3 linked regions of the Coturnix japonica genome follow. The protein of the gene in region 3 interacts with the protein of the main gene of each other region in a pairwise test. Links are inferred from orthologs where the notes say so. Each region holds a gene or a part of one and is shown on either strand. Other genes may lie near its edges.

Region 1 (3,830 bases), on a different chromosome or scaffold from region 3:
AGCTACTCATATAATTTTGCCATGAACGTTCCCACCGTATTTTAATGTGTCTTTTCAGCGTTAAAATGGATAGACTATTATTAAATTAGGATGTACAGACTAAAAGTCTCAGAGAACCCATACCTCTTCTGTCTGCTAGGCATCTACGCAACAGTTTAACAGCTTCTCTTCGACCTTGCTTAGCAGCAAGGATGAACCAATCAACCGCACTACAGTTGTTAAGTTCTTCATCCTCCTCTTCTGCTAATCTCAAGTAGTGTTTCCCCACCTAGAACAAGCGGAGAACAAAAATTCTTTCAATTACTGAAATACATGTAGTGTCCGTCTCTCTCCTCTCACCCCATCAGACTCAGCTACAATAAAATCTCTTTGAACAAAAGGTCAAAACATTTGCTCCCAGCAGTGAAGAATATAGTTGTAAGTTGATATTCTGCAGAGAAAGATCAGTTTCCAGAACTGGAAGCAAGAAGGAATTGCAGTACACTTGATCAGGTCAAAGAATTAGTTGCCATTGGTCTTTGGGCATCTAGCAGGATTAGTTAAAGTTCATGGTGTTATTAAGTCATATTAAGAGTGGTCATCTTCTTCAGTATCTAAAGGGGAGCTACAAGAAAGTACAGGATAGGCTGTTATGCAGGGTGTGTGGTGATAGGACAAGGGGAAATTGTTTTGCACTTAAAGAGGGTAGATCCTGGGTGTAAGGACAAAGTCTTCCACAGTGAGGGTGGTAAAGCACTGTAACAGGTTGCCCAGAGAAGTGGAAGCCCCATCCCTGCAGACAATCCAGGCCAGGCTGGACCAAGCTCTGGGCAACCTGATCTAGCTGTGGATGTCCCTGTTCACTACAGGGGAGCTGGACTTGATGACCTTTAAAGGTCTGTTCCAAGGATTCTAAGATTCTCTTCGATTCTTTCAATAAAAATGGTCAGACAAAATTCTGATGATGTAGGCTGTTAAAGTCTACAGTTTAGTCTCTGAAGGTCAAAACAAACTCACGATTAACTAGTGAATGGAAGATAACTAACACGGCTTAAGAACCTAGCAATTTAAGCGATATAACTTGTAAAATTCTTACCATTAAGGATTAATGTAATGTTAAATATACTTACGCTCTAGCATGAAACACTTCCGCTTATCATACCCTAACACTTAAATGTTAAGTGGCAGAAAGTGGCCAAAAGTACTGGACACTTATTTACATGCCCACAAAACCTGGGAAATGCTTTTGTTTAGTTAACTGCACTCCTTCTCTCTCTCTGTCTCTTTCAGGTGCGTTATTATTTACACTCAGAATGTAACTGAAATAGTAACAGATTACAGCTCCATAAATCTAGTATTATCTGTTGAAAAAAAAACCCACGAGACCAAAACAACCACCAACCCTGCTTGACAGTTTCTCTGAAACTTTGCATTTGATATCACCAATAAGTGTGACTAAAGAAATATCTTTGAAAGGTGAATAATAAACAGTTGTTGCAAGCAGACTGAACACTCTGATCTCATCAAAAAGATGTTTCTGTTAGACATTAAAGGTTAGGACTCCAATTCTGCAACTGGTTCAAGCACTTAAGTGGGTGTTCTAACAACTTCAGCAGTCACCAAGTCACCAAGACCTTGGAGCAATTAAATACAAAGCACAGCAAAGTGACCCAAAACTGTAAAGGAAATAAAAAAATATTGGATTAAGCAATACAAAAGATAGAACTAAACACTTACTATTAATTCATACAGGAGTTCAACCAAGCACTGCACAGATATAGTGGCAGAACAAGAGAGTATATGAGGTTACTTATTTACTTATTTTTACCTTAATACTTCAGCCTTGATAGTGCAATTCCCAGGTAATTCATCACCAACTGCAGATCTACCTTCAGCTTTTTATGTCAAGAAGGAATTGTATGAACGAGTTGCAAGGTAAATAACATCTTCCGACAAGAACAGGAGTTTCTTGAGCACATTTATGCTTCTAGCCATTGCAATTTTGAGCAGAGCTTCAAGAGTAGTAGCACTTGATGTGGCTTTCAAATTTATGAACATCTCTTGGTCACAAAATCTCATATTGCAATGTAGGCTAGGAGATTTTGGAATTAGTCATATATTGCACAAGTGTATTGCGTGAGGAAAAAGAAGCCATAGCACTGGTTTTATAATATAAATGTTTAGGGGTCTGGATTTTTTTTTTCCTATGGAGGTTTTTGTTTGTTTGTTTTTGAAGTTCAACATCAAGATTGAATTATTTGACCACTTCCCCCCCTTCCAAAAACTGCAACAAGACAGAGGCAGCTCCAAAAGCCAAGCAAATATTTGCTTGATATTTCAGTTACAAAGCAACAAGACTTTCTGTGTATTTAGAAAGTTTTATAAGCAAAAATCACCTCCAATCACCTCCAAGTTACAAGCATGTTGCCTTTTCACAAAATACTGCTGGAAGGGGCTCTAAAAAAGCCCCACACCTTTCCTTCCTATGGCAAAGCTTCCACGTGGAGCCAGCCATGAATGGCTGCACAGCTCTGGCCTGCAGGGGTCAAATAAGGAAGAACTGATGGGAAAGAGCATCAGCCTCAGATTGCTAATGAGACAATTCAAGGATTCTCTCTTTCCCGTGAGCAATGGTTTAACACAGGCATATATACTGTACTTCCCTAAAGCTGACTGCCCACCTCTCACCTTTGTGCTTTACCAACTGCATCATTTATCTCAAGCAGGCCCCTTGCAGATAACCTCTAGTCAAAGACACCGAGCTTCCTCTGCTTTATTACAGAATCCAGCTGTGGGTGTTTCATTTTCATAATTGCTATGCAGTTATTTCTCAATAAAGAATCTACATAAAGCTACGGTAATGCAGGCTGACATCCACTCATGGTGTGTTTATTTTCCACAGTCAGTGCAAGGTTATTTTTGAATAAACTTATAGTAATAGCTACTTGGCAGAGAACTGAGAGACTCTTTATGTTTGATTTTGTAATTATCAAGACAAAGAACGATGATGTAATGCCAACTTCTTATTCATAGTCTTACAACAGTCACAAATTAAAGTAGTTTTCCTGGCTGGATTCTAAAGTAGAGAAGGATGCATATATATGCACTATATCTTACTTATCTAGGTTAAAAATGAGAGATAATTCCCTCTCTATAGGCTACGACATCCATTTGTCTAGAAGATATAACTATTTGGGGTTCTTTTCCAAACTGTCATTTCCTCCTGAATGCACACTAATGCAAAATTTTATCCCAGATCTTTTTAAGAAAAGAATACTGTTATTATATGGGAACAGAAAGTGTGCACAGTTAAAGAGCTAAAGGAAAGGAGCGAAGGAGGAATGAACTGCAAAGGATAAGGATGAAATACAATTATTATTTATATATATATATGCATACAGATCATCGGCTTAGATTACCTGTGGTATTTCTTACTCAGCCAGAAGTTAAACCCCAAAATAATGTTCTATGGGTTTTGCTCTTTGGTGTGGAAGAAGAGCCAAAACGTGGACTTTGTAGCAGCAATCCCCTCACGGCTAAAGGCAAAGCCACCGGCTGCTTTGGAGGTGAGGAATTCCTTACCGTCTCAGGTTACAGCTCCAAGGACAGCCTGCCCTCAAACCAGCTGAGATGAAGTGGGGACTGAGTCTGGAACTGCCACGTTTTTATCAGCTTCACAAGCATTTCTCTGTGCCACTGTTCCTGCCTCCTCCCTCTTACCCCTTTCCTTTTTATTTGCAAGATGAGTGGTAATCCCCAAGGAAATAAAAACCAACAACAAAGCACAATGATCGCATGGAAGACCACAAGCACTCCTTTCCATCACAGCTGAAGCTGGAAAATAATACTTT
Region 2 (3,930 bases), on a different chromosome or scaffold from region 3:
CAGTGAAGAGATTATTAGGTGCCTATTTTGCAGTTAGAAGTGAACACCTTAAAAAATTATTGCTTAACTCGATTCCCATATGGACACCCACAAAACAAGCGTGCCAAGACACAGAAAATGTTTTGAGTATCAAGATAGCACAGACTTTAGCTCAAAGAGACACACAAGTCCTGTCTACAACGCTGCACCTACCCCAGCAAGCTTCCTTCGCTCTGCTTGTTAGCACACCTTGAGAGAGCGGCTCAGGAAGTTTGCACATCGTTGCTGCAAACCCAAAGGAAGCAAACCCAAATGCAGCCATTTTATGGCTGAGGCTCCAGCAGCTCAGTTTTAAGTTGTTAATCGTCCACAGCTCCTCGTGCGCAGCAGTAGGTGCCACAAACAAGTTTTTAAACTCTTGGCCTTATTTTAAATTCCAGATCATAGCTCAGATTCAGTGTTAGAAATGGGCATGTGGGATTCTTGTCCTTATAGGTGATACTTTCTACAATGTTTGAATGAGAATTAAAGTGTGTAAGAGAACATGCAGACCTGCGGAGGAAGGCAGGCAAGGAAGAGGATAAGATCACAACATCCTGCTGCCACTACAGCAATAATGGAGCTCCAGGAGTTCCCCAGGTTCAGCGCTCGGCTTGCACACCTTTTCACCCCAAAACAATTTGAAGTTACAACCCCCCTCAACCTCAAAGCGTGTGGAATACTGCAAAGTATGAAGGTGAAGGTCTTTTGTCATCACAAAGCACTGTGTTTCTTTATTTGTGGAGCGAGTATCTTTGAATGTTGACTATGCAACACAAGATGCCCCTTACAGTGAGTGTTTGAGATCTGCTGGGATCAGCGCGTGGGGTTTGGGGGAGTTTTGCTATGAATGCACACAGTAACAAATGTCTGCGAGTTTGCTTATTTTACTGTCTGCTGTGCTCTGAAGTCGACAGGAGAAGGCCTGCACAGTGCAATTTCTCAACTCCTGCAAGAGCCGACAGGTTTTTTTCCAAGGGACAATTTTCATTGCGTTCCCAAACAGGAGGGACAAGCAGGATTGGCTCAGAACATCGCCTGTCAAAAAAACCTGACACCACACATCTTTATTTAATGGACTTGTGCAGACTTTACTAAAAAGTCAGGGAAAAAAACCCAACCCATCTTAGGGAATTTGTTCTGTCATGAAGCAGTCACATAAAGCGAGCAGCTCTGCAGGGCCCAGTGGTCCCAGCATGGTTCCACCAAGGGTTGCTGTGCCCATGGAGCAACCCAGGGACCTCCTGTCACAGCCGGTGTTCGTCGAGTATCACAGGTTAATATCTGCCCTGCTAAATACTTCCTGCAGCCTTGTTAATAATACGTTAAGGTCTGCAACTCCTGCGTGACTCCCCACCCTAAGGAGCGCAGGACTCATCTGTACCTGTCACTGTTACAGATCCCTTCAGACAGGGCTCGTGTCCTGCTCAGAGCCACGTACAATCCTTCCTTAGGAGATGGAGATGAAGCAGGGGATAAATGCAGCCCTGGGTCCTTTTGGTGGCCATCACAGCACAGAGCTGTGCCGGGACCCCACAGCTGTGAGGACGTGACGGAGCACCCGGCGTTCTTCCCCAGCTCGTCATCAGCCGTCAATGTACACATCCTCTCCAGGCAGGAGAGCGAACGGCCCTTCCTGGAACCGCACGGAGCTGAAAGAAACGGGCTCACCCCGCAGCACGAAGTTACTCCGGTTCAGCTGCTGCCGAAGCGCCGCAGACAAAGCCGGGCAGCGCCGAGCGCGCGGCCTCCGGTGCGGGGAGCACCGAGAGCGGCACAGACAGTGATGTCACCGCGCGACGACAACAAAGGAAGCGGCACGGCTGGAAACTCGACGCCTTCCCCTCCTGCTTTCAGCCCAAATCCAGACACGATCGAGGCGGCTCCGACCCCTGGGCGGGCCCCGACCCCCCTCCGCCGTCTCCGGCTTCGTGTCCCGAACGGTCCGTGCGGCCCCGCGACAGCTCGGCGACCCCCCGGGGAACAAAGCGGCGCTCCTCACTTCACGGCCGGGACCCGCCGTTCGGTGCCCGCGGGGACGGACGCTGTGCAGCGCCCCGGGGGGTCCTCGGGGCTTCAACCCGCCCCCCCGTCCCGTGCCCCTCTCCGTCCGTCCCCGTCCCCACCGGCTCCGCCGCGCCGCTCCCCGCCCCCTCCCGTACCTGATATGGCGGCGGCGGCTCCTGATCCGGCTCAGCCCCGTCCCCGTAGCTGGCCCGGTCCGACTGGGACTCGTGGAGCAGCGAGATGTCATCTGATGTGGGGGACTTGAGGCAGTTCCCCATTTTCCTTCCCCCCGGGGAGCAGGGGCGTCCCCTCCGCTTTCTCCCCCTCCTTACGACGGACGGCTCCGCACCCTCAGCCGCCCCGCAGCGCGCAGCCCGCAGCCGCCCCGCCGGGGAGGCTCATGCCAGCCCGGCCCTAAGCGGCTTAGCGGCAGCACGGCCGCCCCGCAGCGCCGGCCGCACTTGGCCCCGAGCCGTGGGGCCGCAGGGCTCGGCTCCCGCCCGGGAGCGCTGGGGCAGCGGGGCTCAGGTGGGGTCCGCCCGCCCCCCGCCCCGCGGCAGCCCGGTGCCGTTCCGCTTCCTGGTCACCAGCTTTCTGCGCACTGGGCTTTGTCGCACAGGCCGCCCCGGCTCCTCCTCTCACTCCGCCCCGCCGGGATCGCGCACGTAGGGCCCGGCGGCACCGCGCTCGGCGGCCGGGGAGCTGTGCCCGCCCCGGCGCAATGAGGCCAGGCCGGCCGCCTCCGGCCCCACAGCGAGCGGCGCTTCGCTCCGCCCCGCAGCTGTCGGTGTGCGGGACGGACCCGGCGTCTGAGCTCGGGGCGGAGCTGTGCCGGAGGCCGAAGTTCCTGCCCCGCGCTGGGCCCCGGCAGCCGCTAAGGGCAGAGGGCCGGGCCGTGCTGCTCTTTGTGTGCGGAGGCGGCCTTGGAGGTGATGAGAGCTACAGCAATACGTGATTGATGTAACGGTGTGTGCAGCCTCTCAATTGAGAAGATAAACTTTTAAAGTGAAATACAGTTGTATGCACAGTGCGAAGTCGGCACCCTTCTAACATAACCACACCAACGCAGCATGAAGGAAACATGTTTCTTAAGGCACATTTAAGGGTTTCCTCCAGCTCAGATCCTCATAGTGCCTTCTTGCCCATCAGGTTCAGGCCACTGAATATTGATCTGAAGCAAATTCAACACAGGTGACAGCAACTAGAAATTAGGTCCTGAAGCAATAAAGCATGGCCGGCTTTAATCAAGGGTGTCTCAGCTGATCTGTGTCAGGCTCCCATCTGAGTTCTTTAAGCCAGCTGCTGGTACTTGGCTCTTCCATCTCTGTTCAGACCTTTGAGAGGCCCTTTAGTGCTTGGAAGGTGGGGAGCTGTGCTGCTGCTTGTTATCCACGTGAGTTCCTCCTTGAGGATTTCCTTTTATTATTGTTTGAGAGTTTTGTTTTGCTGCTGGTTATTGGGTGACTTAAGCACTTTCAGTATGAAATCTATAGCAACAGAGAAGATATTGTTGGCGTTTACAGGGCTTGGAAAAGGTTTTCCTAAGAAGCTAGAAGTAGTGCCTGAGTTGTGAGTGTTGCTTGTGATGGAAACACTTTGTAATAGTGTGCTGTAACTCACAATGAATACTGTACAGGGTGTGAATGTTTATCGCAGGAATATGTTGACTCGGTTAATAGGAGAATTAAGAAGGTAAGCAGTGGTTGGAGAGGAGTCACTGCCTCTCTTAAGAGTAGCTTCAAGGTGAGAGCAATGTCAGAGCTGCTTCTGCAGGATCCTGTGGTGGGTTAAGGCGCAGCTAGAGGACGTTCAGCTGTGCAGTGGTGGCATCACTGACAAGATAACAGGTAATGAGAAGAATATCTTTATTCTACCACCATTTCTCATTTTATCATAAAATCATTC
Region 3 (3,930 bases):
TTCTGGGTGAAATAACAGTATGAGTAAGAAGCACGTAAAGCTTTGGAGTTGATCAACCCTTTGGAACTGCCCCCAGGGAGCAGCGACTGCAGCAGCAAAGAAAGGTTTTAGAGGAGGACATCAGCTAAAAAAGGGATGTGCTTCACAAAGGCCTTTGGACCACATTCCTCCCTGACCCAGAAGAACCTGAGCAGACTCCTCAAGCACTCACAATACCATTGCATTGTTCCCATCTCTTTTTTGAGTCATCTGTCATGGCTGCTCTACCCGCTGACAGCACGGATACAAAGAGACTACGGATATAATGACAAGTCCTACCTTCCTTTGCCTAGAGCTGCTTCCAGCAGTGAGACAAGGCCATAAGCACCCTTGGCTGCTCTATCACCAGCAGTGGTGAAAGCAAAAGGAACCCTGCATATACTTTAGGAGAAAGTGAGATATCAGGTTCATGAGCCTTGAGGTCCCTTCCAACATGGACCATTTTGGGATAGGGAGAGATGAGCATGTTTGAGGACACAGACATTTTAACCCACCACCCAAGTTACCTGCAGTTGGATCTATTGATTTATTTATTTTTCCTTTCTAAACAGAATGTGCCATTTACCATTTCACTTCATTGCAATCTGCATCATGGTAGGACTGACACCACCCCGCACGAGCTGGAAGATCTAATATATTCATATGACTGAAATGCTTTTAACTCAATGCTTGTACAAACACCATGCCAATAAACAAGGAAAATGAGAACAATGCCTTTAAAAGTAGCAAGATTCAACCACCATTTGCTTTTCCTAATGCTCACAGGCACCTTCAGACTGAGCAGTATTGCACTACTGAAAGTAGCTGTGTGAAAACAAATGATTTCTAATCACAGGAAATACAGCGCAGGTAGTAGATCGTAACAGAAGACGTTCCCTGTCTTGAATTAACACCACTCAAAGCTCCCAGCAGCAGAACAGATGAGGAAGCAGCAGCCGCGATAGCTGTAGTGCTTTGGAGCAGGTAAGTCAGCCCAGCAACCTCCAGCCACGTTGAGGATGCAGCATTTCTTAACAACTCCAAAGGGAAACCTCTCCCAGAGCAATTAGTTTCTGATGAAACGCAGCAATTTTTGTCATACCACCCAGGTCACATGCTTGTAAAAACCTAAAATGAGTTTGAGAGAGCAGAGTTCTCCAATATAATTAATTAAAACAACAAAATACGAGTGAGAAAATCCAAGTTGCTCAATAAGCTGCAACTTCAGCCTCTTGCACAAAATGCTCTCAGCCAGGCAGGAATAGCACACGCTAAAAGGCAAAGAACACTTTGACGCTGCATTCGCTCTTTAGAACTAAAACCAACAGCTTCTAAAACCAACAGCTTCTGTCTGTTATTTAAACGATACCTGCCCGCTCCACAGGGCTGCGACCACAGCACAAGTTACTCAACTGCCTGCGTGTTGATGGACTGACTGGCATACAAACAAGGCACGTCAGTGACTGAGTTGGCATTTAGCACACGGCTCCACAAAACTGATTTCAGATCAAACATCGTCTTTACACCCTAAAAATACTTGCAGCCTTCTCGTGTCCGAAAGGATTTTCAGATTGATATTTTCCTTGCCAACTGCAGCCTCCTAAAGCACGAGCAGCACGGGATCAAGGAAGGATTAAAAGCAAACCAGGGTTTTATGTTGAAGAGTCGCTGCTGACTGATTGCAGTGCACACCAGAAGCAAGTTCACCTGGAACTGGAGTTCACCTTGTGCCATTTCTCTTATTGTTTGGCAATATCTCACGCTCCCACAGCCACAGTTCCATAAAGATCAATACCTGTGCCTGGGTCTGAATGAACCACGGCACCGAGATCTCCAAGTATCCACCTGTTGCCTTTAAAAAGGTCAGATCGGGTCTTATTTATTAATAATTCACCCCACAGCCTTAAGAATCAGAACCTGTGCCTCTTCCCATTAGAACAGCAGCTCAGCATTAGCTGGAGCAGCTCTCAGAGCTAATCCAGACCTCGGAGGGTGCAACATAAATTGGTTTATTCATGTGTGCACACAGAGTTGAGGAGACACAGAGTGCAGTCATTCATTGGCACCTTTAGCTCAGGGGAAGGACTGCAGGAGTTGGGTTTGGGAGAGGAAGCAGGAGAGGAGGAGAGCAAAAAGGGAAACAAAATACAGCAAAACAACAGACCCAAAGCAATGAGACGCACACAGAGAGAACAACGGGGCTCTGCAACAAAGCCTACGGAGCCCAGCGGAGGCAAACGAGATGAGAGGAGGGTTCGGACAGAGCGAACCTGAGGGAACGGCGGCTGCACTGCACACTGCAGGGGGCGGGTGGGAACCGGGAACCGAGAGGGGGAAAAGAATAATAATAATAATAATAATAGAAATAACTTGGAAACGCAGCAGCACCGCGGGCTGGGAGCGGGAATGGGGGAAGCGGAGCGAAGGAGCGGGGGAACAGCTGGGCCCCGCCGCCACGGCCCGGCCTCACCGGCGGCCACGGCCCCCCCGGCACACACACATATACACACACATACACACACATATATACACACACAGCCGCCCCCTGCCCACAACCGGCCCCTCCGCACCGAGCAGCGCCCCGGGCCCCTCCCGCGCCGTTATTACCTGTGAGGCGGATCTTGATGCTGGAGCCGTTCCGACGCGTCCCGGGATTCGACATCGCGCCCTGAGGCGAGATCAACCCGCTGCCCCGCTCAACCCCATACGGGCCCGCTCCAACCTCCGGCCGTTCTCCGCGCTCCGATCGCGGCCGGACCCGCCGCCGCCTCAGCCCGACCCGGCCCGGACAGCGGCTCCGCTCCGCCTCAGCGCCGCCCCGCGGCTCGGCCGTGACGTCAGGAGAGGCGCCGCCATCTTGGGGAGGTCGGGGATGGAGGGGCCGAGTGCTGAAGGAGGAGTGCAGCGCCCCCTAGTGTGTGGGAGGACCTACAGAACACAGCTGCACTGCTAGGCCGCAGCAATGTGTTCCACACAACTCCAGTCATCACTGAGCTTATCACCGAGATACTCTTTGGTCAGAAAAGTTCATCTCAATGAAAGGTAGAAACGCTCTGGATTAGGAAAGTAAAGCATCACCAACCCAGCACGGCACCCATAGACGCTTCGCTTTCAATCCAGTGCTGCAAAGGTGAAAGAAAGCAACTTACCTGTAACAGCCTCAAATAGACATGCAGGAAAAGCACTGACCTTTCCCTTTTTAGCTTGCTCTCAGTCAGCAGAACACCAGCACGCAGCAGCCCTGTGTCCAGGCTCAGGAAGAGCAGGAGCCCAGCTCCGGTCCACATCTCCATTTACACCGAGGAAGCATCAACCTCAGGCTCCTTTTACCCACTGAAATCCAATCATTTCCAGATGCTGCCTCAGCAGCACACTGTAAGGTGGTTCTGGCAGCAGAGCCCCCAGTGCTAACCCACAGCACAAAGGAAGGATGCACACAGGCACTCATCTCCAGAGCACACTCAGGTTTTGTGCTATTCCGATTTTCACTTCATAGTGTCAGATCCAGGAAATAAATCGACTCCAGCACTTCAACTACACTCAGCAAGCTCAGGGCTGTGCACCTTGTACAGACCACAGGGGCTCTGCTTCCTTCTTTCTAGGCAACCTGGAGGAGAAATACCCTCTATCCTGCAAGGAGGCCCAGGAGACACAGCACAAACACAAAGGCCAAGCAGGGTTCAGTTCCTTCTTAACAGTTAACAAGAGGTTACACACTGCAGGCAGGCAATGTCTCACACAGAAAACACTTCCAAAAACTCCAATATGTAATTTTCCCATATGTTTAAGGAACCAGAGAGCTGTGATCTTCACCACAGCAGAAGTATGAGAGAAAAGGAATAGAGGCAAGAAGTACAAATCCACAAGTGCAATTTATTACTAAGTTCCACCTGTAAAAGGGCTATACATCTC

Evidence for each region.
Region 1: the proteins of SMURF1 (region 3) and WFS1 interact in binary tests that used the Homo sapiens proteins (3 or more experiments, as listed by UniProt). The link is inferred for Coturnix japonica from reciprocal best matches to the Homo sapiens genes SMURF1 and WFS1.
Region 2: the proteins of SMURF1 (region 3) and RNF11 interact in binary tests that used the Homo sapiens proteins (3 or more experiments, as listed by UniProt). The link is inferred for Coturnix japonica from reciprocal best matches to the Homo sapiens genes SMURF1 and RNF11.

What each region holds. Positions count from the first base shown.
Region 1 is NC_029519.1:72,166,983-72,170,812, reverse strand, and holds part of WFS1 (wolframin), read right to left. Parts: intron 269-3,830; coding exon 124-268; intron 1-123. UniProt on the Homo sapiens protein: Participates in the regulation of cellular Ca(2+) homeostasis, at least partly, by modulating the filling state of the endoplasmic reticulum Ca(2+) store.
Region 2 is NC_029523.1:21,408,159-21,412,088, reverse strand, and holds the start of RNF11 (RING finger protein 11), read right to left. Parts: upstream 2,770-3,930; 5' UTR 2,304-2,769; coding exon 2,181-2,303; intron 1-2,180. UniProt on the Homo sapiens protein: Essential component of a ubiquitin-editing protein complex, comprising also TNFAIP3, ITCH and TAX1BP1, that ensures the transient nature of inflammatory signaling pathways. Promotes the association of TNFAIP3 to RIPK1 after TNF stimulation.
Region 3 is NC_029529.1:4,357,701-4,361,630, forward strand, and holds the start of SMURF1 (E3 ubiquitin-protein ligase SMURF1), read right to left. Parts: upstream 2,839-3,930; 5' UTR 2,681-2,838; coding exon 2,626-2,680; intron 1-2,625. UniProt on the Homo sapiens protein: E3 ubiquitin-protein ligase that acts as a negative regulator of BMP signaling pathway. Mediates ubiquitination and degradation of SMAD1 and SMAD5, 2 receptor-regulated SMADs specific for the BMP pathway.